Bombyx mori: one gene and its partners. The protein of the gene in region 4 purifies or fractionates together with the protein of the main gene of each other region. This does not show direct contact. Links are inferred from orthologs where the notes say so. Each region holds a gene or a part of one and is shown on either strand. Other genes may lie near its edges.

What was found.
Region 1: the proteins of CD2 antigen cytoplasmic tail-binding protein 2 homolog (region 4) and ubiquitin carboxyl-terminal hydrolase 39 purify together in Homo sapiens (affinity purification with mass spectrometry; 5 studies listed by BioGRID and IntAct, with this or other methods). This does not show direct contact. The link is inferred for Bombyx mori from reciprocal best matches to the Homo sapiens genes CD2BP2 and USP39.
Region 2: the proteins of CD2 antigen cytoplasmic tail-binding protein 2 homolog (region 4) and pre-mRNA-splicing factor ATP-dependent RNA helicase PRP16 purify together in Homo sapiens (affinity purification with mass spectrometry; 3 studies listed by BioGRID and IntAct, counting the BioPlex papers as one, with this or other methods). This does not show direct contact. The link is inferred for Bombyx mori from reciprocal best matches to the Homo sapiens genes CD2BP2 and DHX38.
Region 3: the proteins of CD2 antigen cytoplasmic tail-binding protein 2 homolog (region 4) and U4/U6 small nuclear ribonucleoprotein Prp3 purify together in Homo sapiens (affinity purification with mass spectrometry; 3 studies listed by BioGRID and IntAct, with this or other methods). This does not show direct contact. The link is inferred for Bombyx mori from reciprocal best matches to the Homo sapiens genes CD2BP2 and PRPF3.
Region 5: the proteins of CD2 antigen cytoplasmic tail-binding protein 2 homolog (region 4) and small nuclear ribonucleoprotein protein F purify together in Homo sapiens (affinity purification with mass spectrometry; 4 studies listed by BioGRID and IntAct, counting the BioPlex papers as one, with this or other methods). This does not show direct contact. The link is inferred for Bombyx mori from reciprocal best matches to the Homo sapiens genes CD2BP2 and SNRPF.

The regions. Positions count from the first base shown.
Region 1 is NC_085121.1:4,079,952-4,086,604, forward strand, and holds the start of ubiquitin carboxyl-terminal hydrolase 39, read left to right. Parts: upstream 1-2,534; 5' UTR 2,535-2,656; coding exon 2,657-2,717; intron 2,718-2,797; coding exon 2,798-2,946; intron 2,947-3,182; coding exon 3,183-3,297; intron 3,298-4,043; coding exon 4,044-4,219; intron 4,220-4,442; coding exon 4,443-4,668; intron 4,669-4,831; coding exon 4,832-4,955; intron 4,956-5,054; coding exon 5,055-5,214; intron 5,215-5,398; coding exon 5,399-5,589; intron 5,590-5,849; coding exon 5,850-6,002; intron 6,003-6,635; coding exon 6,636-6,653.
Region 2 is NC_085117.1:18,328,626-18,334,493, reverse strand, and holds part of pre-mRNA-splicing factor ATP-dependent RNA helicase PRP16, read right to left. Parts: intron 5,385-5,868; coding exon 5,182-5,384; intron 4,593-5,181; coding exon 4,494-4,592; intron 3,448-4,493; exon of another isoform or gene 3,435-3,447; coding exon of another isoform or gene 3,058-3,434; intron 2,863-3,057; coding exon of another isoform or gene 2,730-2,862; exon of another isoform or gene 2,418-2,729; coding exon 2,288-2,417; intron 2,210-2,287; coding exon 2,120-2,209; intron 1,002-2,119; coding exon 864-1,001; intron 1-863. Other genes in the region: uncharacterized protein LOC105842458, read left to right, coding at 2,730-2,862, 3,058-3,434. UniProt on the Homo sapiens protein: Probable ATP-binding RNA helicase. Involved in pre-mRNA splicing as component of the spliceosome.
Region 3 is NC_085130.1:18,555,588-18,561,455, reverse strand, and holds part of U4/U6 small nuclear ribonucleoprotein Prp3, read right to left. Parts: coding exon 5,817-5,868; intron 4,799-5,816; coding exon 4,715-4,798; intron 3,562-4,714; coding exon 3,440-3,561; intron 2,461-3,439; coding exon 2,269-2,460; intron 1,847-2,268; coding exon 1,719-1,846; intron 1-1,718. UniProt on the Homo sapiens protein: Plays a role in pre-mRNA splicing as component of the U4/U6-U5 tri-snRNP complex that is involved in spliceosome assembly, and as component of the precatalytic spliceosome (spliceosome B complex).
Region 4 is NC_085111.1:10,749,016-10,755,654, forward strand, and holds the start of CD2 antigen cytoplasmic tail-binding protein 2 homolog, read right to left. Parts: upstream 3,713-6,639; 5' UTR 2,261-3,712; intron 1,937-2,260; 5' UTR 1,803-1,936; intron 1,577-1,802; exon of another isoform or gene 1,331-1,576; intron 1,206-1,330; 5' UTR 1,193-1,205; coding exon 1,010-1,192; intron 821-1,009; coding exon 514-820; intron 1-513. UniProt on the Homo sapiens protein: Involved in pre-mRNA splicing as component of the U5 snRNP complex that is involved in spliceosome assembly.
Region 5 is NC_085117.1:15,789,856-15,795,546, reverse strand, and holds small nuclear ribonucleoprotein protein F, read right to left. Parts: upstream 3,423-5,691; 5' UTR 3,345-3,422; intron 3,263-3,344; 5' UTR 3,252-3,262; coding exon 3,077-3,251; intron 2,419-3,076; coding exon 2,327-2,418; 3' UTR 2,030-2,326; downstream 1-2,029. Other genes in the region: RAB6-interacting golgin, read left to right, coding at 4,808-4,886, 5,399-5,691. UniProt on the Homo sapiens protein: Plays a role in pre-mRNA splicing as a core component of the spliceosomal U1, U2, U4 and U5 small nuclear ribonucleoproteins (snRNPs), the building blocks of the spliceosome.

The DNA of each region.
Region 1 (6,653 bases), on a different chromosome or scaffold from region 4:
TTACTTTTGACAATGGTTTTGACATTACGTCAGCTAACTGATTTTTTGTGGGACAGTAGCTAATATTTATTAATCCATGCACGAAGTGTTGATGTATAAAATGGTACCGTACGTCTATGTGCTTCGACCTTTTGTTGAAGGATCCAGACTTCACAAGTTGAATCGAACTTTGGTTATCAACATGCAGATTTATTTTTATGTCCAAACCGGTTATTTCCTGTAATAGAGATTTGAGATACAATGCCTCTTTGCAAACAGTCGGCTGCGGCTATGTACTCGGCTTCAGTCGACGCTAGCGCTACTATAGGCTGCCTCTTGGATGGTCCATCAGCTATCATTAGCACGGAACCAGAAGTGCCTCTTCGCGTCAATGGGTCTCCAGCATAATCAGAGTCACTGTAAGCATCGATATTCTCTATCGGTTTGTTTCGTTTGAACAAAATGTCTTTCTGTTTTGTTCCCACAAATTTTTTTAATATTTTCTTGACGTTTATAACGTCTTCTCTAGTGGGGTTTTCGACCTTCCTATACTCGATACTTGATCCGGCACATTATCCTTACCTACAATCTCAATGTCAAAGAAAAACAAATGGCTTAGGCCTTGTCCGCACAGCGATATTTCACCGCGCGATATTTTTCTCGTAGTTCTGTAACACATTTAATATTATAGGAGTATCCGCACTGGCGGTAAAAAAATCGCGCGGGAAAAAAATCTGTGACTTGATGCAAATAGAACGCGAAGCGGTGCGATTTATTTTCGCGCAAACATTTTATACCGTATAAAGTAAGGGCCTGTCCGCACAGCGATATTTCACCGCGAGGTTTTTATTCGCGCGTATTAAATTCCGCGATCGACATTACACCTAGTACGCACTGCGAATAAAATTTTGTACTATTTTCGTCAGTTTATTTAAGTTCTCGGCTGAGACGCACGTGTAAAATGGACAACCGAACAAAAATTTTAATTTATCTAATGCTAAGATGGCGTAACAAACGTATCAAAATATTTCATGAGAATTGGATTCACCCACTTACGGCATTGAGACCCATGAAAGTTTTTTCTACATAAAATATCAAGAGTGCGAAAATACAGCAAAAAGTTTTTTGGCTATTACAGAATGACAAAAATATCATTCGATAATTTACTACAACTACTTTACTACATCTTTTCAATAGCGAGGTTGTAGGACTATGAGCGAAATGCGCGAATTTTATTCCACAGTGCGAACATAGCCATACTTACTCTACACGATACAAAATATTCGCGCGGAAATAAATCGCACCGCTTCGCGTTCAATTTGCATCAAGTCACAGATTTTTTTCCCGCGCGATTTCGTTCCCGCCAGTGCGGATACTTCTATAATATTAAATGTGTTACAGAATTACGAGAAAAAAATCGCGCGGTGAAATATCGCTGTGCGGACAAGGCCTAAATATTACCAAAAATTGCCAAGTTACTCTATAATTACAATATTGGCAAAATAATAACTTTTTGGCGGAAATTCGAGGAGCGAAGCTTTCAAATATTAATCTATGAGCGTAGCAGTGTCAATTGTTTTATTTAATTTATGTAGTGTCTTTTCAGATTAAAATGCGTAATAATGGTGGTTAATTGACTGTATAATACCTTTGAAAGTGCACAAATGTATGAATATGCAACAAAGCCGTTAAATGTAGCTTCTCGGGATCTTTTTAAAAGTCCATTGAAAAAGTCTCAGAAAATAATTCCCATTTTACTGAGACTATATTTCATCTCATCTCATTACGTTTCATTTCATGCCAATTGATTATTGTTCCAAATTAATCAACTTCATTTCATTTCATATAATCATTTATCATAAGCAAAAAAATATGAAAGATTAGGCTGTATGGTATCATACTTTTGCCTTTCCAGTTCGAAAATAGAACACATACTCCTACTAAAATATTTTTTAATGGATTTTATGACACGGTAACTAAGATCTTTAGGTCAACTCTTAATAAAATTTATATTCTTATTTTTATGAAAAATGATAATATGAAGTGAAATGAGATGAGATGATATGGTATAAAATATAATCTCACTATGATAGTGGTCATTTACTGATACTTTTTAGTGAACTTTTTGGAGGATGGATAAGGTCTCAAGTATAGTTACAATGGCTGTCCCACCCTTCAAACCGAAACGCATTACTGCTTCACGGCACAAATAGGCAGGGTGGTGGTACCTACCCACGCGGATTCACAAGAGGTCCTTCCACCAGTAATTACGCAAATTATAATTTTGCGGGTTTGATTTTTATTACACGATGTTATGCCTTCACCGTGGAAGTCAATCGTTAACATTTGTTATGTATTTCAATAGAAAAATTGGTACCCACCTGAGATTCGAACATCGGTGCATTGCTCAACACGAATGCACCGGACGTCTTATCCTTTAGGCCACGACGACTTCATATTTCATACTATATTATCTCATTTCATTTCATACCACTTCGTATTACCATTTTTCATAAAAATAAGAATATAAATTTAATTAAGACCTGACCTAAAGGTCTTAGTTACCGTATCATAAAATCCCATAAAAAGTTCATTTAACGATTAATATTTACATTTTACATTTAGATTTCAGATTCTTCATTTAACTACATTGTCTAAAGTCTATGATAGTAATAAAATGACTGAAGAACAATCTAGAAAACGCAAAATAACTGATGAAAATGGGACTGACAAACAAGGTACTTGATAATGCAATTCTAACCTTCTATGATTCTGCACTCTACTGCTATTTGTAATCAAAGTATTATTATATTTTCAGGACGATATTCGAAAACTCAACAAATTCAATGTCCTTACCTGGATACTATCAATCGGCATGTTTTAGATTTTGACTTTGAGAAATTGTGCTCGGTTTCATTGACTAGAATCAATGTTTACGCTTGCTTAGTGTGCGGTAAATATTTTCAGGTAACAAAATATTTATGCAATTGTCATGGCTTTGGTGATTAGAGGCTTGAACTTTTTTTTACAGGCAAGTTACTTGTTTTCATGATGACGATTTTTATGAGCGCCAGTGTTGTTCCTGGCATTTCATTCCAGTTCTTTGCTGTAGTGATATGTAAGATAGGTTATTTATGTTGACTTAGGCATAAATTTGAATTAATCACTTGCGAAAAAATCATTAAAATCTATCTACTTTCCAGGGAAGAGGCACCAACACTCATGCCTACACACATTCAGTGGCTGATGGACACCATGTATTTTTGAATCTTAACACATTAAAGTTCTATTGTCTTCCTGACAATTATGAAGTTATTGGTAAATTACATATTTTTAACTTGGTTAGCTAAAATAGCTTTTATGTTAGATATAAATTAATTATAAATAAAATAATAATAAGATATAAATGAATTCGGTCAATTGATGATTTTGTGCATTGAAAATATTTATAAAATATTATGATTAAGAATTGGTGCATTTTACAGTTGTTAACACATGCGATAACTTAAAATAAATTGTTAGACTTTATTTTTGTAAGTAAATTAATAATAAGGAAAATTTGACTGATTTTTAAAATTTTATACACCAAAATGGAATCAAGTAAAATACTTTTAAGCTTAAATTTAGGTATCAATGACTAGAAGTACAGTAAAGCTTTAAAACTTGTAATAGTCTAATGGACAAGACACCCAGTGCATTTGTATTGGGCAGTGCAACTGTGGTGGTGTTTGAATTCTGTTGGCAGGTACCAATTTTTTTAATATGTATTTAACACTTCGTTGGTGAAGGAATGTATCAAATCCATCTTGTGATTATAATAAACTTGCATAAATTATAATTTGTTCTAAGGGTGACTTAAGAGCTTGCATTTGTAAGTACCACCACTCTGCCTATTTCTGCCGTGAAGCAATAATGTGCATTGGTGAAGGGGACAGCTACTGTTGTACTGTAAAACTGAGACTTAGAACTCCTGTTATAGGGATGCGGGTAATCACATAGCATCAGATGAGCCGGGAGCTAATCTACCTATCACAGTCATAAAAAAAGACAATTTCACATTTTAGACTCTTCATTGAATGACATCAAATATGTTTTGAACCCAACATTCACACCTGAACAGATCAAGCTTATAGATACTAACACAAAGATGTCACGAGCCATTGATGGCACAATGTATATGCCTGGCATTGTAGGCCTTAATAATATCAAGGCCAATGATTACTGTAATGTAATTTTGCAGGTCAGTATATGTTTTTATTAAATACATTTTATGATATGTACTGTTTTTATTGTATGATAAATGCGACTTATATTTTTGTTGCCGGCGATCTGTGAAAGTAGATGCGTTACAGTCAAACTGATTCTGTTTTAACCATTATGTATATTTGTAGTGAATAATTACACAGTGCTACAAAGTCTTAATATTGTCACAGTTTTATACTAAATTCATTTTATGATTTTAGTGTTTGTCACAAGTACGTCCCCTACGTAACTACTTTTTGAGAGAAGAGAACTATGCTAGTGTAAAAAGACCACCAGGGGACTCGTCTTTTTTACTTGTACAAAGATTTGGTGAATTATTACGCAAACTATGGAACCCCCGTGCTTTTAAAGCACATGTATCTCCTCACGAGATGTTGCAGGCTGTTGTGCTGTGGTCTAAGAAGCGATATCAGTTTATTAAGCAGAGTAAGATTTTAGTAGTTTTTTGGATATACGAACATGCTTTCTTAGTGTAATTTCTGTATATTATGCTAAAAAGTATGAATATTGATTGATCAGTTTTATATTTTAATTATATATTGTTTTATAATAATAATAAAAATTTATAAATAAATAAATTTTTGCTCAGGTGATCCAATAGACTTTCTGTCTTGGTTTCTAAATTCATTACACATGGCACTGAATGGTACAAAGAAGCCAAATAGCTCCATAATTTATAAGTCATTTCTGGGTCACATGAGGATCTATACAAGGTAAGATTTAAGCATCTGATTTTTTAAAGTTCAAAATAATTAACATTTAATCTATCATTATATGCAGTCAAAAATTTCTGAACAGACTGAAATTTTCAGAAAGTTGCCACCGCCGGATGCTGATGATGCAGCTAAAGTCGATCTTAGCAGTGAAGAGTACAATGAAATGATCACTGAGTCTCCATTTTTGTACCTCACATGTGATTTGCCTCCAACGCCATTGTTCACTGATGAGTTCCGCGAAAATATTATTCCACAGGTGAAAATACCTAGTATTGTTGCAATTTAAAAATTGTATTCACTAACTTTTTTATTTTTTTATTAAGACTGGTTTTTTTATATCAATTCACATCCACTTAAATAGGATTTAAAACAAAAAACTTAACATAAAAACTATTTGAAACTTCTGCTTGAATATTTTTAACATTCTTGTGATATTACAGGTAAATCTTTACCAGCTGTTGTCAAAATTCAATGGTCAAACATCAAAAGAATACAAGACTTATAAAGAGAACTTTTTGAAAAGATTTGAAATAACACAGCTGCCTCCTTATCTAATTCTTTACATAAAAAGGTTTACGAAAAATACTTTTTTCGTTGAAAAGAATCCTACAGTTGTAAACTTTCCTGTCAAGTGAGTCATTATTGTTCAGATCTTATTTGATAGAAAATAGTTGATTTAAGCTTGTATTAAATAACAAATTTAACTAAATTTAAAATTATCAAAACAGTTGAAAAATTGCGTTTATTTATTAATTTAATGATATTGGCATTTTGAACATTATTATTCGCAAAACGCAACGCTTTTCTGTTCTGGCCATAGAAGTGTTTTTAAAATGTCCATCATTCACAACAATGTTAGTTGTCTAAATTAATTAACCTATTTTATTTTAGAAACGTCGATTTTGGCGATATACTGACTGCGGAAATTAAGGCGAAACATAACGGAAAAACAATATACGAACTGGTTGGTAACATTGTTCATGATGGAACACCTGAGAAAGGGACATACAGAGCTCACGTGTTGCATAAGCCTACACAGCAGTGGTAATTATTACATATTTACTCATGGCAGGGGTGCGCTATCCGCTTGAGTGATGCGGAGTACCAATACAATTATGCCAACACTTTACTTGTCTTTTAAGATATTTGATCACAAAAAAGGTTTTAAAGCGTCCACACCCATCTTTAATTTATGTATTTTTCAATGCTTACTAATATTCACGTCAGTATTTTAGAGGTACCTATTATAGAGGTTGTTTTTTATTTTATAGTCAGTATTTTTAATGCAGTTAGGTTTTTGTTTTGTCAGTATCTACCATGCTGGTTATTCTGTAAATATCCGTATTAATAATTTCAAGACCACATGTTCACCTTATAAGTATTTTTCGAGAATTTCGCTATTATTCCCATATTTCTAGGAAATTGCATTTTAGAATATATCAAAGTTCTGTTAGGTCTTTCTTATCAACTTCTTCAGTCATAGTCCCACATATTCGATGCTCCTCCTAGTTTCGAAAACCTCGGGGGAGGATCGACCCTAGGCCTGAAACTCCTTCCAAGATTTTAATGATTGTAGTCAAGATAGCCTATGGCACGGTCGTAACCAAGAATAGCGTGTTTCCCAGTATATTAATAAAAACATTACTGCCAGTATTGAAAATTAATTTTTTGTCACAGGTATGAGATGCAAGATCT
Region 2 (5,868 bases), on a different chromosome or scaffold from region 4:
AATATTTTAGGTTTTTTTTTTACACCTTGGGTTACATTATTGGAGTTTTAGTAAAGATCCCTAACTTTTTTCAAAAAAGATTATTGCCTATGTCACTCAGGCATAGTATAGCTTCCAAACAGGGAAAGAATTTTTGAAATCGGTTCAGTAGTTTCGGAGCCTATTCAATACAAACAAACAAACAAATCTTTCTTCTTTATAATATATAATATTATATATAATATATAATAATATATCTATACTTATACTTAATAGTATGAGTATAGATATATTTTAAATGACAGATAGAAAATTAAATATACATAATATATTTTTTAAATACTTCATTAAAATATTGGACGCTACTCGTTGCTAACGCCCGCGCTGGCCTGTAACAGGTATACTACGCGCGTGTGTTCGAGTGCCACGCATTCACTCTCGCTCGGTCTCTTTCTAGTACGGTAGCGTTAGACGTTTAACGCAACTTCAACTTCAATAAACTTTACTCAAAACTCTGTTTCTAACGTGATATAAACCTGGTCTCCTTTCTGAGCCGATCTGTGTGAACGGACCCTTATTCGAGAAAACCACGGGAACGATTCCAAGAAACCTTTCCTTGTAAATAACCACACATTTACAAAAATCTATTTATCAATTTAATATAACCAATTTAAGTTTAGCTCCCGTTTCAAGCACCTTAACCCCATGTATTATATACGCATCATCATCATCCAATCATCCGTGATTACTAAAATTGTATAGTATTCGCAACATCGAAACTAATTTAATGGCAACAAGAAAGCGAGATTGAGCCGTAACACTGGTAATAATAAAGTTGAATATTGATCCGCCACCGGCGCCCCACCAGCCCGCGTTTTGCTCACCAACTATGATGACGACGTTGTTCTCCCGGATGACCTGCAGCAGCTCCTCGCGGACGGCGAACACGGGCAGGTAGCGCCTCTGTTCCGATATGGACATCTTCTTCACGAAGTCCGACTTCGATTCCGGTTCCTGAGCTTCTGAGAATGAAGGAAAAGTTTTATAAAACAAATACATTGCGCGTCGTGTGGTGGACACAAATACCTACATTGCGCGTCGAGTTGGCGGGCGAAGTCGCGGGCAGCTAATTGGCGTTAAATGTTTCGTTTGTTAACACTAATCATACTAACCCTTACTGGTACCTATTTCTACCATAGCGGGTAGATAACGGTATACGACAAGTATTACTCAAAATACACAAAACAAAACAAAAACAAAAAAACAAAATGTGTGCAATTCACACGTGGTAGAAGTGAAACCTTCCAAAATTAAAATACAATTATCCTAAACGTCTTAAGTATATGTAAAATTTTGTCATTAGTAAATAATTGTAAGGTAGCGCCCTCTGTGAATTGATATTTTAATTTCACGTATAATCCTAAATTAAAATTCACTACAAGAGCTTTCATACACACGTTAGTATTGAAAAATCTCACAGATGGCGCTGTATTAAATAGTATGTATATTTCTGTCTCATTCTTTGCTGGCTTCATCCTACACATTTTTGTATTTGTGTCTCTTACCTGTCGTTTTTTCCGTTGCATCCGGTTTGAAATCACAACGATTCTAAAGAAGTTTTCACTTCAAAAGTAGTATAATAACTGTAGATTAATTGGTAAGAATAAGTCATGAAGATGATACGTGCATTTTCATTGCAAAAGTTCAAAATGGGTCATTCGATACGTTATTATGTTTAGTGTTAATTTTATTATAATGCTTCTGCTAGTAACTAATAGTGATTTATTAGCAGTTTAGCGTCTGTGTACGTAGCGAAAAATGATACAAAATCACTGGATATGGCTTCGCACTTTCCTTCAAAACATCTACACTGGGACATTAGGGTAATCTCGTTTCATTTCATGTCAATAGATTAAAAAATCTATTAAAATAAATCAACTTAACTTCATTCATCATCATTTTATCATGTAAGACGGAATATTTATGGTTCTAATAATTAATGGTTTTTATAAATTCATTAATATTGGTTGGTGGTAACATTGGCGTTGCAAACGCATATTGCCAGATTGAAAAAAGGAAGTAGATTGAAAATTACTTCGTAACGAAAATGAAATGCACACAGCGCGCTTCACGTACATACCTTTATCTAAATGCTCCGCGTATTTGTACGCTTCTCTTGTAGGGCCATCTTCGAGTTCTTCTTTTTCCCTCTGTATTCCCATGATGTTGCCTGTATTAAAAAAGAGACGTTATAATTTTAATGTGTCTAGTAAAGCCGGCGAAGAGAATATTGGCGGGTATCATTTACCTAGTTTGGTTCCCTCTAATTTCCAATGTTTCTTCTGAGCTTTCCGTCTCTCCTTTTGTTCTCGGAATGCTTTCACTAAGGCCGAGCCTTTTCGTGCGTTTACCGCCATATCCGACGTAGGATCTTTTACCTAAAAAGTTTTTTAAAATATTATTAAACAAACTTTCTAATCGATATCACGAAACTAAAACTATAAATTAATCGATTAAATATAAATTAATCATAAGTAATCAGATGTAATCAAGTTTTAGGTATATATTTTATTTTATTTTTGTTGTCAATTCACTGTCGTTGCACCTACAGATCGTTCACCGTAAGTTGTCCCCTGCCGTGATGTTGGCACTATTACTTGTAATTTTTGTCAATCTGTTGTTGTCAGATTGTCTGTTGTGACGTGTGCCGTTAGTTTTTGTGTTAATATTTAATAACCTTCAAATTATTCATGCCAAAGCCATTTAAAAACAGTGCAAGAGAGATTGTGTTGAAGGTTCATGCCTTTTGTGAGAGAGAAAAGGCAAACCAAGCCCCGTTAATTAGACTCGATCAAGTGCGAGCACGAGTCGCCGCAATGACAGGTTAGTAAAATGGGGATACAAGCTTCAGACACAATGCCTTTAGTATGGGTAATAAGAATTTACTGACATATAGAATTAAAATAAAAAAGTACACATCTCAGTGAGTTTAATTTATTTCGATAATATGGTCATTACTTGAGTTTATATAAATATTAAATTTTATAAAAGGATACAAATTTTATGTCTTTATTTCAGGCATGTCTGAGAAAACTATGAGTAGAATAACTAAAGAAGGTGAAGTTGCTGCCTCTACGTCTCAAAAACTCAAATCTCGAGTAGCTAGCAATAATGTCGGCCAAGAAGCTGGTAATATCGTGAAGTTAACTGAAGAAGCTTTTTCATCGATAACTCCTCAGGATTGGCAAAAACAGCGTGAACACGTAAAACATTTAGAAGACAAATTTTATGAACGTGATGGCTGCATGGATAATATTACGGATAAATTCATAATTGAACTAAGAAACGACAGCAGTACAGATTCGGATACGTCAGACGACGCTTATGCAAGTGACAGTCTGGAATCGTTTCTTTCGACCATAATTACTGTCAGTAAAAATGAAATAAATAAATAATTTAAAATTTAAATTGTGTTATAATTTACAAACTTCCTAGTCTGTTAGCTATATATTATCTAGACATATAATAAAAATAAGTCAGGTCGATATCTGTGCTTTGAAGATATTGAAGAAAAACTAATATAGGGGGTCTTTATTAGAGCAACAGAAGCCAAAACAATAATTTTACATTACACACAAGATAATAGGGAGTAAAAGGTACATATATTGTTTGCAACACCGTTAGCAATGCTACCAACTCTCAAGGCAGGGGACATCTTATGCTGAACGGTCTGTATAATTGAGGTGACATCTGCCATGTACTTTTGTCAATTTATCAATGTCTTGTATTGATAATCACTTTGTTGGTGCAACTAAATAAATAAATAAAATCTTATTTACTTATACATATATATTTATATATTTTTTACAATAGTGGCATTGCTCATGTCGATGAGCGACGATGACCACTCACCATTAGGTAAGGCGTAAGGCTGGACTGCCTTCCTGGACAATAATAAAGTGAATACCGGAGTCCCTCGACTTTAAACCATAAATTATGTCAGCCGTGCTTACTAATGAGGTTAAAGAATCGATATTTAAAAAATCTGTGCATACAAACGAAACTGCATTTTTTTATGATTGAAGGATTACTGGTGGCCCGGAGGCCTTTCCAGTTTCACTAGGACAGGTGGGCAAGCAAGGGCTCGGTCAGGAGGGGTGGGATTTGCTAACAGCAGCCCGAGCGCGTCCGAAGGAGATCTAACAACTCAAGAGCAATTGCTTCGCGAATGAATCTACTACCGGATCGGAATCGCGACCCGCTGAGAAGATCCGGCGAGAAACTCAGCGGGCTGATGCATGGGTTAAGATGCATATTTATTTCGCGGCGCGAGTAAGCAGAACGGTGACCCACGCGTGAAGCAGTCCCGTGTTCCGTTTTGAAAGGGGGGCAATGGATACACAATGCTACGAGACTTCGACTTCACGTGACCAAGGACTCTGGTGACCATATCACACCAGATGTACCGACAGCAATACAGACAGTAACTTTACGTGAAGTTTATGCACACGTACCGGTATCACGGGCTCCGGCTGCTTCGTGAATATGATTCTTCCGTCGAGGAATGGAGGCACGATGTTGTGCACCAGCAGGTGGACGCGGTCAACGCTCTCCTGGAACACAGGACACAGAACTTATTGTACAGACTTTTTATGTTTCCCTGTTAGTTTTCTGTTATAGTCTGTGACAAAAATAAATATAATCTGTACTTTACGTTCTTTTTTTAAAATACTCATTTGATTCTCTGTTTAACATAAACCTCTGAATATGACCACGAGACTTTTTGACGGGAACGCGAGGAGTGAAATTGTGTGATTTGTTTTATTTTGTCTAGTTAGTGTTTCTTCAGGTTTAAATGTGTAGTAACTGTGGTTTATTAACTGTTTATTATCTGTGAAAGTGCATAAATGTGGGAAAATTAAACAAAGCCACCGAACGTGACTTTTCGGGATCCTCCAAAAAGTCCACTGAAAAAGCCTCAGCAAACGACCACCATTTTACTGAGATTATATTTCATACCATATCATCTCATCTCATTTCATTTCATTTCATATTATCATTTTTCACAAAAATAAGAATATAATTTTAAATAAGACATGACCTAAAAGGTCTTAGTTACCAGGTCATAAAATCTCCAAAAAAAAAAAGAATACGACCACAATGTGCGGCGGTGCGCTATACAAGGACCTGTCAGTTGCTCACCTCATCCATATCGTTGTTGACGTTGATGGCGTGGACAACCCCGCTCGTCAGCATCCTGTTCCGTTCCCAGAGGTCGTTGTCCTTGTCTATTTGCTGTCTCTGAGCGGACACCTTCCTGTTGCGACGTTTCTCTATTTGTTCCTCCTTGCGCGCCATGTACTCCGCGCTCGTGTTGCCGAACGGATCCGATTCATCGGCTTCACCTGACAAATTATTATTGTTGATTGAATCACTCTTCAGGTGGAAACCTACATGACATATTAGCGTAGTAGACAAATTCTAAGAATATTTACTGAATCAAAAGGAATAAAATCAAATAAAAAAAGAAATATTCAACATAAAGTACATACTTGTTGAACGTCAAAAAGAACTACCGCCAATTCACAAAAACTAGCCTTCGACCTGAGAAGAACTGGCAAGAAACTCAGCGGGCATATCTTTTTTTTAAATATATATATATTTTTTTTATATTCATTTTTATAATGAGTATTATAACGTAACAATTATTGCAATATTGAAATGCCCGGAGCGAGCAACTCATACCCACTTTGTGCAATCTTCTAGATAATCAGAAGGACGATTGAAAAAAATAATATATAAATTTATTCTAGTTCTAAAATTTGCTTGTCAATGTTTTATCCATCGAATCGATGTTTTAATTTTACATATATCAGTCCATTTTTGTGC
Region 3 (5,868 bases), on a different chromosome or scaffold from region 4:
AAATACCACCGATTCGGCTCCTATGTCGATCAAAGGGAGGCACATCGAGCAGGTGGGAAGCTTCTGTTACCTGGGCAGCATTGTGGACGATAGGGGAGGCACCGAGGCAGACATTGCGGCTCGTATAAATAAAGCCAGAGCCGCGTTTAGTCAACTTAGGCCAGTGTGGAGTTCCTCAACCTTAACAAGACGAACAAAGGTGAGGATCTTCAACTCAAATGTAAAGTCTGTATTGCTGTACGGGAGCGAAACTTGGTTTGTTCGCAAGGACTTGATCAAAAAACTTCAAGTGTTTGTGAATAAGTGCCTGCGTCAGATTTTGAAAATCTTTTGGCCTGAGAAGATCACTAACAAAGAGCTGTGGAGGATCACTAGGCAGACACCAGTGGAGAAGGAGATCCTTACGCGGAAGTGGCATTGGATTGGTCACACTCTGAGAAAGCCCGATACACACCTATCAAAGAGAGCACTGACCTGGAAAGTGTCTGGTAAAAGGAAGAGAGGCCGCCCCAGAACAACTTGGCGTCGCTCGGTGGAGCAGGAGCTAGGGGTCTTGGGCATGACGTGGGAGGAGCTAGAACAGACTGCCCAAGACCGATACAAATGGAAAAATTTGATTCGAGCCCTACACCCCAGCAGAGGGTAATAGGAAAGCATGATGATGATGAAGATGATTATTAATATTAAAAATACCACATGTTGAACCTTTAAAACACTCTCCTGTAAAATTAGTAAGTTTTGAGATTATACAGTTTTAATGCGAGAAGACGACGTGTCAAAAGTGACAGCTGTCACTGTAGCCGCCGCATATTGTACGCGCTCGTACCGCTCGCGATCGAAGCCAAGTAGCAGAACGTGCGCGCGAACTTAATGAAAAGCTCGGCGCTTGATTTGATTTTGGTTTTATTTTATTCAAAAGTCGTAAATTGATAATATTTATTTATATACATTTTTATATGTAAATATATATTTATGTATATGTATTTATTTAAGTACGGGTGTTTGTATCTATAAATATGATGTATGTTATATATACACATATGTTTAAGTAATATCACTATCACACCACACTCACCAAGGTTCATCTCAAGAATGGCATTAAGTCCGCCTTTATACTGTCTAGTATATAAAGTTATAAATAAATAAAATAAATAAAATAAATAATCGCATACACAAACAAACACACAAAGCGCAGTACCCACTCGTCTATGTATATTAATGTGGAGTTCGCTCAGAGTAGAATTGCGCAGTGTTTTTGGAAAAGTATCAAAATATATTCAGTAGATTGGGGGGAATCGGGCCGCTTTCCTATTCCAACACAAATTTTCAGCGGTTTCTCTCAAGGTAATACCAATAAAATTGAGATTAAAATGGTTCCGGATACTTAAATTTTCATATACGCCGCATTATTATATATAGTTCATTGAAAAATCTATACAAAACTTTAAAAACCAGCTTCACCTGATTCACTTTGGCTTTTGTGGTGAATCGGGTCACCTATGGAGACAATAGAGTTTTTCGATAGGGCTGGCACTGTTTAGTTGTTAGATAGGTACTACCCACCTTTAGGTAATTAATTTTTCAAATTCAATTACAAAACTTTGATAACGATATACCAGTGTGAACGTGTTATCTAAGCTCCTCCCTAGAATTATGACTATGTTATTTAGGGGTACCGAAAGGGGTCAGGTCCCCCGGGGGGTTGGGAGGGGGCTCACCATTCCACGTCGGGGGGTCCGTCGGCGTCGGGCGCGTCGGCCGCCAGCAGCGCTAACCTGGTGGCGGACGAGATGCCGGTCTTCCGCGCTATCTGGGATATCTCGTTCTGCAGCTTCTCCAGTTGCGCCTGGGGAGGGGGGGATCTTCATTGACACATCTGGCTTTAAACGACATGACCATAGACAACTACAACGTAAATGCGCCACCCACCTTGAGATATAAGTTCTAAGGTCTCAGTATAGTTACAACAGCTGCCCCACCCTTCAAACCGAAACGCATTACTGCTTCACGGCTGAAATAAGCAGGTTGGTGGTACCTACACGCGCGGACTCACAAGAGGTCCTACCACGAGTAAGGTTCTGAACATCTTGTGGGATTTTGTTGTACAGGCGCACAGACAAACACCCGAATGAATTTCGTATCTTATGTAACCTACTCATCGGCACAACAAGCTTGTGTTTGTTCATCAATCATGAAGGGATCCTGTAATTGAGGTACTGATCATGAAGGGATCCTGTGGTGAGTCGAGGAGTTGTCAAGACGGAGTACCTTCATCCTTAGCCGTTCAGCCATCTGGCGGAACTTGCCGGGCTCGTGGAAGCGCAGGGGCCGCTTGGCGCGCGCGTGGGGGCGCGAGGACACGCGCGGGTCCACCCAGCGGGACGACTCCGGACCCACCTCCTCAGTGGGACCGGACAACTGAGCTTTGAACTCCTCACGTCTCTTCGCTCTTATGTTCGCCTGAAAATCGAATTATTGGGGGGGGACCAGCTCACGGCCCAGCTGGTGTTAAGTTACTGGAGCCCATAGACATGTTGGGTCTCTATAATAAGACACGTGTCCAGTTAAGTGACTAACGTATATTGGGATTACAACCTAACGTGCTATCGACAGCCCGACAATCCCGAGACTGACCTAGCATCATTGCAATATCATTACCACTAACACATACATATAATTGTTGCAATGCAATGCATTGCAATGGGGACATTTGTGGTCCCTACAGACATCTACAACATAAATACCGCCCTTGAGATGTAAATTCTAAGGTCTCAGTATAGTTACAACGGCTGCCCCAACCTTCAAACCGAAACGCATTACTGCTTCACGGCAGAAACAGGCAGGGCGGTGGTACCTACCCGCGCGGACTCACAACACATTCTTCCACCAGTAACCGCCGCTCGAAGAAATTGTTTGAGATGATCCCATCATCTCGTTTTTACCATCACACCGCCCGCCACCGGAGTAGAGTTTATCCATACTACCTGGAGCCACTGCGGTCATCCACAGTGCGCTTCCAGAGGTCTTTTCTGCCACGTACCGTCCGGCTATGGAATGAGATCCCCTCCACGGTGTTTCCCGAGCGCTATGATATGTCCTTCTTCAAACGAGGCTTGTGGAGAGTATTTAACGGTTGGCAGCAGCTTGGCTCTGCCCTTGGCATTGCTAAAGTCCATGGGCGACGGTGACCACTCACCATCAGGTGGGCCGTATGCTCCTCTGCCTACAAGGGCAATATTTTTTTTAATTTTTTTTTTATTGCTTAGATGGGTGGACGAGCTAACAGCCCACCTGGTGTTAAGTGGTTACTGGAGCCCATAGACATCCATAACGTAAATGCGCCGCGCACCTTGAAATACAAGTTCTAAGGTCTCAGGTATGGTTACAACGGCTGCCCCACCCTTCAAACCGAAACGCATTAAAAAAATCGTTGGCTAACCTGAAGCGTGGGCGCCACGTGGGTGAGTTGAACTATCCTGCCCGTGGTGTCCACGGTGCGACCCTCACGGTCCAAGATCAGGGGGGCAGGTCCCGACCCCGGCGTCGATGATAAGGCACCCCCTGACAACGAAACGTCTTTTATTGCATAACCAAGCAGAGAAAATTAAACATAAATAAAGCGTCTCGTAACTAGTATGGAGAGAAGCATGTTAAATGCTAAAACAAAAGAATAAAATAAAATTAAAAGATATCCATCCGTATGAAAACAAAAATAACGGATGTATCATACACAGTTAAAAAATTAATGTGGAAATGGATAAGTCATTTAATAAGGAGCTGAACAGAAAAATGGGCTAAATTAGTAACTGAATGGTACCCTCGAGATGGGAAAAGATTAAAAGGACGACCGTTCCAAAGGTGGGTAGACGACATGAAAGTCATTGCAGGCTCTAGTTGGAAGAGGAAATGCCACGACCGGAACTTAGGGCAGGATTTGGGGGAGGCCTATGCGAAAGCAAAACAATCTTAGTCGATGTCAAATGCAAAGAGAAAAAAGCGGTTAAGACGATGGTTCGAGAACTGTTTCTCAGAGAGTGAGCAGTCATCTAATTGATAATATTTGTTTATATATGTTTTCATATGTATATATTTATGATATCTATATATTTATGTATATCTATATGTTTAAATTCAAATTCAAATTCAAATCTATGTATATGTATTTATTTAAGTACGAGTATTTGTATCTATAATATGTATGTTATATATACACATTATGTTTAATATCACTATCACACTACACCTACCAAGCTTCATCTCTGCACTCCCCTAAGGTAGACTGTTAGAGAATGCCTGCGGCATTAAGTCCGCCTTTATACTTTATAGTATATGAAGTTATAAATAAAGTATAGTATGCATAGTACCTAAATATGAATTAAGGTTGTTAATAAAGGCTTCTTTATCATTATCTCGTACAAAACCAAATCCGGGGTTGCGAAGAATAATTTCGACAGTAATTAATTTACAAAATCCTTCATTAAAAATGAAATATAGGATAGGTAATATGTTACTGCCATCTACAGGAGCAATGAGAAAATAATCGAAGCGAAGCCATCCAGTGGCCGACGCCCGTAAACATTTTTGTTGAGTGCTTGAGTTGCTTATCTATAACTAATTTGTGTGTGTTATCTATGAGGAAGGTAACAAGGTACAGATGACTATATGATAGTTCACAACACCCTGACAGTATTAATGATCGGTGAGGTGCAAATACCTGCAAGTTTCCGCTGTATCCTCGCTTGCAGCTCAGCTATCTTCCTTTGCTTCTCCAATTCTTCGCGTGATAACGGCAAAGTTTCTGTAAAAAAAACGATTGTCTGTAAAGTCGGTTTACTGACGATAGTTGAACGTGACAACGTCATAAGAAAATACTGATGGAATGGTTTCATTTTTCAATAATTATCGTTGCTATAAACAATTGACACCACATTCACTTTTCACTGAACTTCATACTTGACGAAAACATGTAAATGTATTATTGTATAGCAGCTGTCCACGCGGATGCATCGCTCACTCAAGTAGGAGAGAGACAGATGTCGAACGCTGCCGAACGCGGAGGCCGATTGTGCCTCTTTGTCGCTCGTTGCGCGCTCTCGCTTGCACTTCAAGCCTTAAATGGAACGCCTCAGAGCGAGGTAACGCCGCATGAGTCATGTTTTTTCGTGCGTGCATCCATCGAAATATAAGACGTTGTCACGTCAAAATTATATGTATAATATATTATAGTCTTATAGTGTAAGTTGATGTACAAAATAATATGTGGGTATTGTGTTCCTTTTGTTTTTTTGTAACTCTGAAATTTCTATATTTCTCTTCTCTGTTCACTTTCTACATTTATATGTGATTTTGATTGTGGAAACATATTTGATTATTGTTTTAGCTATTTTTTTTTAAATATTATATGTTTGTATTGTACAGTTTGTTTCCCAAATAAATAAATAAATACGTGTAATACAGAACTTTTTACTGGTGGTAGGACCTCTTGTGTGTCCGCGCGGGTAGGTACCACCACCCTGCCTATTTCTGCCGTGAAGCAGTAATGCGTTTCGGTTTGAAGGGCGGGGCAGCCGTTGTAACTATACTGAGAACTTAGAACTTATATCTCAAGGTGGGTGGCGCATTTACGTTGTAGATGTATATGGGCTCCAGTAACCACTTAACACCAGGTGGGCTGTGAGCTCGTCCACCCATTTAAGCAAAAAAAAAAGCTTTTTTTTGGTCAGGAGGACATCGCCGGACTTCCGCTCTCCACTGGTGATGGAGGGCGGGGCATGTCGGAGTCCGGACCGGTGCTTGAGGTGTAAACTGAGACTTACCAGGTTTTGAATACAGTACAGGTTTGATTACACTCGGTGGGGGTATTGCATT
Region 4 (6,639 bases):
GTTAATAATTATGTACATTGTTTGTAATAATCTTTTTAAAATATGTGTGGTTTGTAGGCTATTAATAGACTGTCAAGTTATTGAACAGCACCATATGATACTGAATGTAATTCTTAAAAGTAGAGAAATTTAAATTAATTAACATGAACAAACAACAACAAACAGTAAAAAATGCAAGAATACTATGAACATTTCAAAAGTTTTAACATGCAGGACCTGCTAAGTATATGGCCTGATGCATCTCAGTTACAGCTCCTTTTACTAGATTACAGCTTTCAAATCCTCTGGATATTACTCCACTTGGATTGCCCGGTGAAGTTAAAAAAGCCAACAGCAATACCTCCACACAGGTGCTCCACCTTATTATACATACCAAATGATTCCCATTTAGAGACACATTTATACATATAACATAGTACTATGGTGAACATTTGGTAACAACCGTTTAAGAGCACTAGTCAGATCAAAAACTTATTACAACATAATTATAACTGGTACCAGAATAAAACTTACCAAGTCTCTGTAAAGCTTTGGCAATTGTTTCTTTAGGTTTCATATGTTGTAATATTTCTTTATAGTTATGTATCAAATCAAATTGTTGTTCTTGTTCATCTTCACTACTAGATTCATCACCAAGTCCTTTTTCATCGCTATGATGAATTTTATATTTATCCTCTGGTCTACCTTTTACTTTAACCCAGTCAATGTTATCAAGCCATCCATCACGAATTTCTTTTTCTTTTTTCCAATGGTAATGTCCTTGTGTATCAAAATGCCCTTCTTCAAGTTCTTCTTTCATGTTAAAAGGTGTTATTGTAATCTATAAAATAGTACTAATTAATGAAATTAATATTTTATTTGATAGTTATAAGTATTAATTAAGTTGTTAATATTAAATTAGCTGAATTATCCTCAAAAGCATTTTAAGTATTGTTTGGAAAAAGAAACATTTTTTAATTCTCACAACAATTTGAGTATTCTGATTAGGTTTTTGACTTATTCTACTCACTTCACCTTCCATTCCACCAGTTCCTTCCTCTTCACCTTCAATATCATTGGAGTTCATAACATTATTCTTCTCTTCTTCAGCACCACTATCTTCTTCGTCGGAATCCAAGGAATGTTTCTTGCCATCCTTCGTGGCCTTTTTTACTTCGTCTATTAATGCTTCGGAAGCGGGACGCTTTGACATTTTGGTAAAGTAACTAAAAGGAACAAATTTTAATTAAAAACATTAAAAAATATTTGGGTTTATCTAACAAAGACTTTAAACTATAGGCACATTCCTAAATTATCATTGAACACTAAGCAAAGTTTTACTCATCCTCACCCTAATAATATTTTGGGCGCCTTTTCTTGAATAGGTGAACTCAAATTGAGTGAATCAGATTCAACTAGGTTGGTACACGGTTGGTACCTCTTCTTAATTGTGATTGTGTGTCTGTTGCCGTGTGTTAGGTACGCTATCAATGAAATCAATGTTTTTATGTCTATCAAGGTATGGTCTCAAATCTCAATTATTAATTTTATTATGTGTATCAATGACTCGAATATTTAAGTGTATAATCTATGTCTATGACTACGATGTTTGGTTTTAGGACTTTTTGGCGGGAACGCGAGGGGTGAAGTTGTGTGATTTGTTTTATTTTGTCTATTTAGTGTTTCTTCGGGTTTAGATATGTAATAATGGTGGTTTATTAACTGTTTAATATGTGTGTAACTGTATTTTTCTTCTTCTTTACTTAGACATTTTTGTCCACTTTGAGATTTAATTGTTATATATCTGTGCAAAACCGACTTACTTATATTAAATTGCTTAGCTATTTCAACTAAAGACTTATTCCCAAATTCATAGTCTTCTATTGCTGTTTTTAATATTAAGGGATCATATCTCTTATAAAGCTTGCACTCTTTGATACATACACGCGAGGCATATCTAAAAATAGAAAACAATACGTAACTGATAATATAAATATAATTGCACTAATAATTAAATAAAAGTTTTAGACAAAAACATCATGAATAAATGAGATTCTTACCAACACGTTTAAAAAAGATTGTTATAACTACATAGACAACCCTACAATCCTGTACGTATTTATACTTAAGTCGTTCCCATTCAACTTATTGTCGTCCCAATTGACCTCCCTTTCATTGTTATTTGTAGCTCAGGTGACCCCATTAACCCCAAACATAACAATTTTAATATGTATTTTTAAATTATCAAAAAACATTAAAACCAATAACAATTGAGACTTACCGTTAATATATATGATGGCTCAAACACTAAATAAAGTTTTTATATCACAGTCGTCTTATATTATTATCAAATAATATATGCTGGCTTAACCATCAACTGGTGTTCGGTTGTAAAGGACCTAGGCCTACTTATTGACTCCAGCCTGAGTTGGCGAGCCCAGGTCATCTCCGTGTGTCAGTGAGTTACACTTACACTCCGTATGCTTTACCGCCTGAACAATATCCTTCCGCCCGAAACCAAGAGACAATGCTCGTTTAAACTTTGATCTTCCCCATGATCGACTATGGTGATGTGTGCTACTTTGACCTGAATGCAGATCTACTCAATAAACTTAACCGGCTTCTCAATAACTGCATTCGATTTATTTATAATCTTCGGAAATACGATCATGTATCTTCTCATCGCTCCCAACTCAAATTGCTCCCCATTCGACAACGCCGTAGCTTGCGTGCTCTCAGTACTCTTTACTCTTTGTTGCACTTCCCAAATCCACCTGAATACTTAGGGTTTGACTACAGCCAAAATCTTCGTTCATCTCACAATCTTCTTCTTCGCTGTTAGTTCGCAGGTAGTTCGGACTTTTTACATTCTTCCTTCACTATTCAATCTATTCTTCTATGGAATGCGCTCCCACTTAAAATAAGGTCGGCCAGAGTTTAAGACAAGGTTTCGAGTACTTAGAATCAATTAGATGACTCTGCTAAGAGTTAGCAGAGTCATCTAATTGATATTTATTTATATATACACATTTTTATATGTATATATTTATGTATATGTATTTATTTAACAAACAAACAACTGTCTGTACAAACTGTTTAAATAGCACTCGGGAGTTATTTTGCGAAAAAAAACTGTCACACTTTTGGATTAGAAAAAAATAGATGTTGCTTCAGCTGAAGCACTGTAGTGCGCTACCGAAGAATTACACAATCAACGTGAAAAAAGAGCAACCGGTTGGCGATGTATCGCATCCCGACCCGACAGCCTGGTTCTAGTCCAGCGGGGTATTCCGGGACTCCAGTCGCACTGTGTGGGTGGCCTGACGGGCTATCGTACCCAGACGGCTGACGGCTGTAGAGCATTCCGTCTCAAAGGCTCCGTCGACCGGACGTCCTCGGGGGAGCTGCGCTGTCTGTAGTGTTGACCGCGATAACCCCTTTACCTCACCCGGGTTCTGACCTGGAAGGGTATCAGACGATTGGGCGAGAGTGCAGGGGAGTTGTGTAGTGGGTATGGCCCTAAATTCTATCCTTTAGGCCCGCGGTACCGGCGAAGGCGGACTTTCGGCGCGGTATTGTGGGTTTCGTGGAGTCGTAGCGGTCAGTAAGCCCCCTCAACCGGGTAACCGTACGGATTCTACAGCGTTAAAAAAAAACAAAAAGAAGGCCCGCGGTTCACTCCCATACCCCATGCGCCCCTAGGGGCGGGGTATTCCTAGAAAGTTCGGCCCCCAGTCCAAAAAAAAAGATCAAGCACTTCAAACCGCATTTCGTCGACTTTCGCCAGGGAAACTGCTTAGCTGAGTGTTAAGCAACATACCTTGATAAAAAAGTCGTCGGGGCCTAAAGGATAAGACGTTCGGTGCATTCGTGTTGAGTGATGCATCGGTGTTCGAATCTCAGGTGGGTACCAATTTTTCTAATGAAATACATACTCAACTAATATTCTGGATTGACTTCCACGGTGAAGGAATAACTTATTTATTTATTTTATTTATTTATGTACACACAGAAAAAAAGACATAGTACAGAGTAATAGGAAAATTATGTACAAAGGCACTGCTTATTTCTTTAAGAAATCTCTTCCAGCAAACCTGCGAGAGGATAATGAGAATAATAATAAAAAGTGATAAGTGTGTGTAGAACAAATAATACATAACTAAAACAACAAATACAACATGAGAATTATAGTAATGCACTTACACATACCAAATATTGTTAAACTTGAGTACAAAATATTATAAGTCACAGTAACACTCGTATATACGAAGAGTATAGAACCATGATCACTCGGTTGATGAGAGATAAAATTGTTTGACCTTGTATTTAAAAACAGAAACAGACTTGCAAACTCGGATGTCAGCCGGCAACGAATTCCACAGTCTGACCGCGTGCACAGTAAAGGAGTGAGAATAGAAATTGGTTTTGTGAGAAGGGAATAACAAAACAGAACGTTGGTTGGACCTGCAGGGAGCATCAGGAGAACGAATGAAAGAGAATCGCTCACGTAAATATAAGGGAGAAGTGGGCTTATGTAGGATATTGAATAGGAGACATAATATTCGAGTATTCCTACGAAGGCGTATAGGGAGCCATTTAAGTTCTTTGCGAAAATGTGAAACATGATCGAATTTTCTGAGATTGTATATAAAACGGATACATAGATTTTGCATCCTCTCAAGCTTGTTTGAGAGCTCCTCAGTGGCATCCAAGTAGCAGGCATCGGCGTAATCAATTATGGGTAGAATGAGAGCTTGGACGAGAGATATTTTTGTATGCTGAGGTAAGAAGCCCTGCAGACATCTCAACGAGTGCAAGGCGAAGTGCACCTTCCTACTAATCTCAGCAACGTGAGAACTCCACGAAAGATGTCGATCCATACACCCAGGTTTTTAACTGAATCGGTTAGAGTTATTTGAGTCCCATCCAAATAAATTGGGGGGAGTATAGGATCGCTGAGTCTACTGCGCAATTGTTTACCCCCTATAATGATAGCCTGTGATTTTCCCGGATTAATGTGCAGACCGTAGGCTTTTGCCCATTCAGTGATAGACTTCAGATCACTGTTCATCGCAGCAATAGCCGATTCAACGTCAGGCTCTGAGAAGTGGCGATATAGCTGGAGATCGTCTGCGTAGAGGTGGAATTTAGAAGATATAAGCCTAGTGACAGAGTTTATAAACACAGAAAACAGAAGAGGAGAAAGAACACCACCCTGGGGAACGCCCGCACTGACGTTCTGCCAATCCGAGAAAGTCTCGTCAAGACGGACACATTGCGAGCGCCCCCGAAGGTAACTATCAAACCAGTTAATAGCAGACGAGGAGATATTGTTTGATTTGAGTATTTCGAGCAGAACATCGAAGTCAACAAAGTTAAAGGCGCTGCTGAAATCTAACAACACTAATAAAGTTAGTTGTTTGTTTTCCATGGCCCAGCGAATGTCATCGGTCACTTTTAGAAGAGCTGTAACCGTGCTGTGGCCCTTGCGAAAACCAGATTGGAAGGAGCTAAGAAGATTGTGGGAGAGGAGAAAAGACGACAACTGACGGTGGACAATATACTCAAGGACTTTGGAAAGAAAAGGAAGTATAGCTATAGGACGGAACTGAGATGGCAAAATAGGATTGGGGCTTTTTGGGATAGGAACAACATAGGCTTGTTCCCAAGAATCAGGAAAGTTGCTAGAGGTAAAGGAAATGTTGAAAATATGGGTAAGTATAGGTGCTACCGTTGGAAGGATTAGGGCAATCATTTTAGAGCATACGTTATCAATTCCAACAGCCGTGGATGAGATGGAGAAAAAGAAATTACGGACATCAGCAACCGAGACTGGACTTAAGTCAAAAATAGGGATCCGGGGTACGGATAGACTTGAAATCTTAAGCAACGTGGCCGTCTTTGACGAGTCACTAAGTGACACAGGAGGGAGAGAAAAATGCTTATTGAGGGCGCACAAGTCAGTATCCTTGACAGAAGAGACGGGAGGATAACCTCGTGTAATAAAAATCAAACCCGCAATAATTTGCGTAATTACTGGTGGTAGGACCTCTTGTGAGTTCGCGTGGGTAGGTACCACTACCTAGCCTATTTCTGCCGTGAAGCAGTAATGCGTTTCGCTTTGAAAGGTGGGACAACCGTTGTAACTATACTTGAGACCTTAGAATTGATATCTCAAGGTGAGTGGCGCATTTACGTCGTAGATGTCTATGGGCTCCAGTTACCACGTAACAGCAGGTGGGGTCTGAGCTCAAGAGGAACCCAGGGAATTAAATAGCATACCTTCGACTGGATTGACTATCAATGAACATGGTCACTCGGTATAAAAAAATTGTGGAAAAACTAGCTCACTGATGTTATATAGCATAGCGTGTAATGTAACTAATTTAAAGACGACTGACGATGCGACCTTACTTTAAAGAACAATCTATAAAAGTTCTTACATAATTATTTCTTTCTAAAATAATCACATAAGAACGAATAGTTTTGAATTGTTTTAACTTTAGTAAGGGAATGCACAAATACTCAGATAATAATAAAAAAAGTCATATAATGGATGATTTGACAATAAATCACAGATCTCTTTGATATTCATGATCAGGACTCTTCATAGTATTTTGCTCTTTGTTGTTTGTGCTTCAAATACATTTTTTCACTTGT
Region 5 (5,691 bases), on a different chromosome or scaffold from region 4:
CGTTTATAAAGAATATTTTGATAAATATTGAAATCATAATTTGATCGTGTTTGCTACAGATTTTAAATGATTATGTTTTTTTTTATGTCCTTTATGTACAATAAATTTACTTATTTCAAACCTTCGATTTGTGATTATTATTTTGGATTTACCTAATCCCTTTCCGGAAATGTAAATTGATTGAATGTTCAGTAAGTAGTATTTTCACATTACAAGATACTATATAAAAGTTATACACAACAGTTGAAAGATGTAAACAGTGGTTGTTGGTATTTCAGGGAAGGTTCATAGTACCACAAAATAACGAGAGGTGGCGCTCGATTTCTTTTAATAAATGGGTGTTTCTCATAAATCTAGAATGTATTAACAACTGCCTGAACTTCTTCATAGCAAACCTAACACATCAAGAGCAGCTGTTTCGCTAATGAATCGATAACGACATTGTGATAGCGATCCGCTGAGAAGTGTCGGCGAGAAACTCAGTGGGCTGATGCATTCTCGCTTTACTGTCGAAGAAGGTGTCTTCGACGCTGTTTTTATCCTCTCAAAAGTCGTGAAGATTTCAAATCGTATCTGTCTTCAGCGAAATCGTATCATCTTGTGCCGAGTCTTAGGCGGATTTTTTGAAAAATCTGATAAAACCATTTTATTCATTACAGTGGTTTTATTATGTTACCCACTCACATTTTAACAAATACTTATACAAGACAGAGGGATAGCATTTTGACGTGATTAATCGATAAGTATTGGCTACACGCACGAAAAAATGTCACGTTCCGCCTGAGCGTGCAAGCGAGAGCACGGAACATGCGATAGAGGCACGATCGGCCCTTTTTTTTCCCTACCTATGCTGATAGCCATGAGAGGCTATTTCAGCTTCACCCTAAGGTTTGTAGGTGAGCTCACGGGGCTCAACCGGAGAGTTGCTAACACTGACCCTAGCAAGAGCAGTGCTTCGCAGAATCTACCACCGGATCGGAAACGCGACCCACTGAGAAGATCCGGCGAGAAACTCAGTGGGCTGTGTCTATGGGTTAATTCGCTCGTCGAGCCCTTCGTCGCAAGCGACGGGTTCGACGAGGACGGTGACCAGAGTCGACCCAAGTGTTGGCTTGTGACACATTTATGTCGCGTGACGTCAGAACTAGCAGTTCGAATAGTTCTCCTACTGACTTTAACGTGTAAAACTATCGTCCGTAAACCGACTTTACAGTTAACCAAAATTTTTTTTTTGGTATTGCCCTGACATTAAGAGTACTATTGTCTCGCGAAATGGACTATAAGAATTTCAGTCATCCGTGCACGATAGACTAATGTAGGACATTAGTTTGTGACCTGTCTTTAGGTCTGCTCTAAATATGTTCTAATGCTTGTTCACCGACTTCCACAATCAATAGCTTATCCTGTAGGCGTTCAAATTCGAATGGGCAATGTTTATAAGTTCGTAATTCTAAGTGGAATGCAGGATAAGCATAAATGAGATAATATCACTATCCTGCATTCTGTACCTCATGCATCAAGGCTTAAGATGAGTGATGATTTATGTAGTGGGCTATGGCAACTACTTAATACCAAGTAGGCAGTCAGCTTTTTTCTTCATCCAGAGCAATACAAAGTGTGCAGCAATTCGCAAAATGTAGAAGTGTAACCTGTAGGAGTTTTCTATCTCGTTCTCTCACAGACTAGATACTATAAAATAATATGCATCTCTTTTTAGTCACTTCTAGAGCTTTAACTATATTAAAATAAGGTTGTATTATTTACTTTTTAGTTTCAAATCATAACCAGAATGAGAACCAAAGTTTTTTTAAATGAAAATTGTTTTTGCGAATGAGGTTGTGTTTTTAAACGAATTTGGAATCTAATACCCAAAGGCCAAAAAAGAGCAAGAAGGAATGGGGTAAAATACATTGAAGATCATTAGATTTCAATATATTTCCCTGTTTTCACATGCTCATTTTTTGCAAGGACAATATAAATCGCAAACCTTTTCTTGTAAAGTTAGTGTTGAGAAAATAAAACAAGGTTATGGTGAAAATTTACTTATAATTAATTATACAAGTTATGGAATTCATGCTGAAGAGGTTGTTTCAGACATAGTTATTAAAAAAAAAAAAGTATTAAAGTTGTTTCATTTAAACATTGTATACAACAATAGTTCCAATTAACATTTTTCTCCTCAATCATTAGTATTTCGGGATATATACCTAAGGTAATTTTACTGCTAACAGAGTAATATGAAATTTCTATTTTTTTGCTTAAAATTTCCCTTTTGCCTGTTATTCTTAAGATAATTCCTTATTCTAACTTATGTAATAATTACTAATTATTCTTTCATTTCTCCTTCTTCATCTTCTTCATCAGCTCCTCTTACATACAAGACATTATTGCATCTTATTAAAACTTCACCTAAATTACCTGGAAATAAAACCCAATACTTAAATTAATAGGGTTCTTAATTTAGTGTTTTGTATGTATGGACTAACAGAACTAACTGAACTAGTATTCAAAACAAACGCCGTTAAAGCTTTACAGAACTCTGCTGATATGACTTCATTAAGTTTGATGTAGCATGGACTGAATTACAATAAAAAAGATTCTTAAAAAAAAATATAAAAAAAAATATTTAAATGTTAAGATTTGATTTCTAAATTTTATTTACTAATTTAAATTAATTAAATTCACAAAACTATTCACAACCAAAAAGTTTGGTTTGGAATCTTGTAAGTGTCAAGTTGTCTCTTGTTATGAAATTTATTGATTTTGTGCATTCTTTGTAGCAAGTACTTTTTTTTTCTTTAAAAGGGCAAATGAACCCCATGACATTTAGTGTTAAGTGGCTTCTAGAATTTATAAGTTTATTACAATATGAATATTAAATCTACTCTTCAAAGCAGAATGCTTGAAAGCTTTGAAGTCGAAATGGGTGCAGAATAGTGTACTCATAATAGACCAAACAAACAATGAACGTCTCATTTTTAATTCAATTTTGGTCCAGGTCCACTACCAGTAGATCTTAATCTCTTGCTTTAATATGTTTTCGTGATTACTTAAAGTTGTTCACTTAAATACTAACCTGTACAAGTTCCATCGACAAGTTCTTCAGTATTAGCAAGTTGCAAATTCATGTAGCCATCTGTTGATACTAACAAACCTTTGTATTCATGACCCCATTTTAATTTAACTAGCACGGATTTACCCGTTAGACTATTAAGAAATGGTTTGGGATTTATTGGCATAGCAGCCGCCATTTTTGCAGGTTCTAAAAAGTAAATTGGATGTTAATTCATTTTCAAACCACCTTTATTGTTTTCATTGCTTATTTAAGAAACATCAGTACTTACTTTAATATCGGCTAACAAGAAATACAAAATATAACCTCAAAATGTATCGGCTTCGCTTCGAGTTCGACGCTAATTTCTACTCATAGATATTTTTTTATTTTTTATTTATGAAAGCATTGAATTTGCAACACGGCCATCAGCTACTCATAGATAATACACCACCATAGATAAAACACAGGTAGTTTAAAATTTATTATAATTAGTTCTTTCTAGGACTTTTCGGCGGGAACGCGAGGAGTGGTTTGTTTTATTTTGTCTAATTAGTCTTTCTTCAGGTTTAAATGTGTAATAACGGTGGCTTATTAACTGCTTAACTGTAACTGTGAAAGTGCACAAATGTGGGAAAACGAAACAAAGCCACTGAACGTAAGTTCTCGAGATCTTCCAAAAAGTCCACTGAAAAAGTCTCAGTAAATGATCACCATTTTACTGAGATTATACTTCATCCCATATCATCTCATCTCATTTCATTTCATTTCGTTTTCATTTCACTTCATGCCATGTTTCATATTATTCAACTTCATTTCATTTCTATAATTTTCATATAAAAAAGTTACGTAACATAAAATTAAAATAAGACTTGACCTAAAAGTTTTAGTTAGTCCAGGTCATAAAATCCCTTTAAAAAAATGTAGTAAAAAATTAATAATAGTATGTATTTCATCTTATTATTATTGAAGCCCAGTTGAAAAAAAAACTACAGAAAATGGTAATTATTTTCTTTAATTTATATAAACATAAAGTCCTGAGAAGTCAGGTCCAGTGATTTTGTTATATTTCCACAATCTTTTACACTTTCAAATATGTTTAACTAATAGAGAAGGGCTTGTAGCGACTAAAACGACACACCTAAGCTGAAAGTTCTCAACGTATTTGGAGGAATTCGCTATTGATAAAATGTGAAGAGAAGAAAAAATATGTGAAAAGCTTCCATAAAACTATATATTAGCAATAAAAACATTTAGATAAGTTTGTTTAATTAAAGATGGTATGAACGATCTTTGGCCTAACTAAAAACCATCAAATAATTGAAAGTAGAGTCGGTTTTTTTATAAAACTATTTTGGGAATAGAAAACGAGAACTTCAACATTGTGTGTTGAAGTGCTTATGCTGAGAGTAGAGCTATAACACCAAACCATTTTAAAGACAAAATGTACATATTGTTAAAATAAATGTTAAATGGATTCGAATAATTAAATGGGCGAAACACTATTTCAATGGGTTTTTGGCTTAAAAGACCAGAATTCAATCTAACGTGATTAAAAAAGTTCCAATAACGTCAAATAGTCAATGTCAAAGTAGTGTTGCAGAATAGTAAAAATTTGATGTGAATCAGTGTTGAATCAATGAAAATATAGATTTTTACGTTTACGATCTATCTATGAGTTTTGCAATTTTTTACATTAATGCACCTTATATGAAAAACATAACCCTGACATATCTATGTAAAAACAAATAAAACATGTCACAATTTACAGGTTTTAGTGAAGATGACTTGGAAAGAATTAAATCTGGCGAAACTGCCGATGAGAGTAAAAACAGTACGTATGGAGCTTGAAATATACTTTTTTTAAGCATATCAATAACTGAACGCTTATTCAGAGTTTTAAATAGTAGCGCATGCGATTAGAATTTGAAATATTAATATCTCAACATATATAAGTAGATCTAAGAACGATTTTTGGGTATAAATCAAAGCTTCTTCAAGAAAATTAGCTATATTCTAAATAATAATGATTGCCAAATGATTCTAAGAGTTTCAAGAAAAAATATAAATGATAAAAGTCACTGAAGCCAAATTGTGCAAGCAAAATTAAAGTAAAAAAAAAGTAAAATTGATCACAAATTTGCTTCTTTATTACAAATGTCAGTGAAGCATAGTCGTATCTACTAGATATCTATAATTTCTACTTCAGTAACATATAATCCACCAATTGGATTGGCCTATATCAGTGCCTTGCACAACCTTATTATTAATGGTGTGTGTAATGCAACAATTTTTACTGCCTATGAGACAGTCTACATTTAATAACAACTACCATTTTAATTACAGAGTACATAAAAAATTCTAATATAAAACGAGTTAAATTATCAATGAAAACCAAGCCATATGAATATAAGACAGCCATTAATCAAAAACAGGATTCAGACGATGGAATAGACAGCATAGATTTTGATAAATGTAAGCTTAGTTTAAAAACACCAACGTCACCCTCCAAAAATGCTAAAATGGAGGAGGACAAACAAAATCAAGTTATTTTGCAAAATAATGTAGAGGGAAATGATGAAGTACAAGTAGATACTATCGAAGCAGACAAGAGTGATATGACAAGTAGTAGAAGGAGT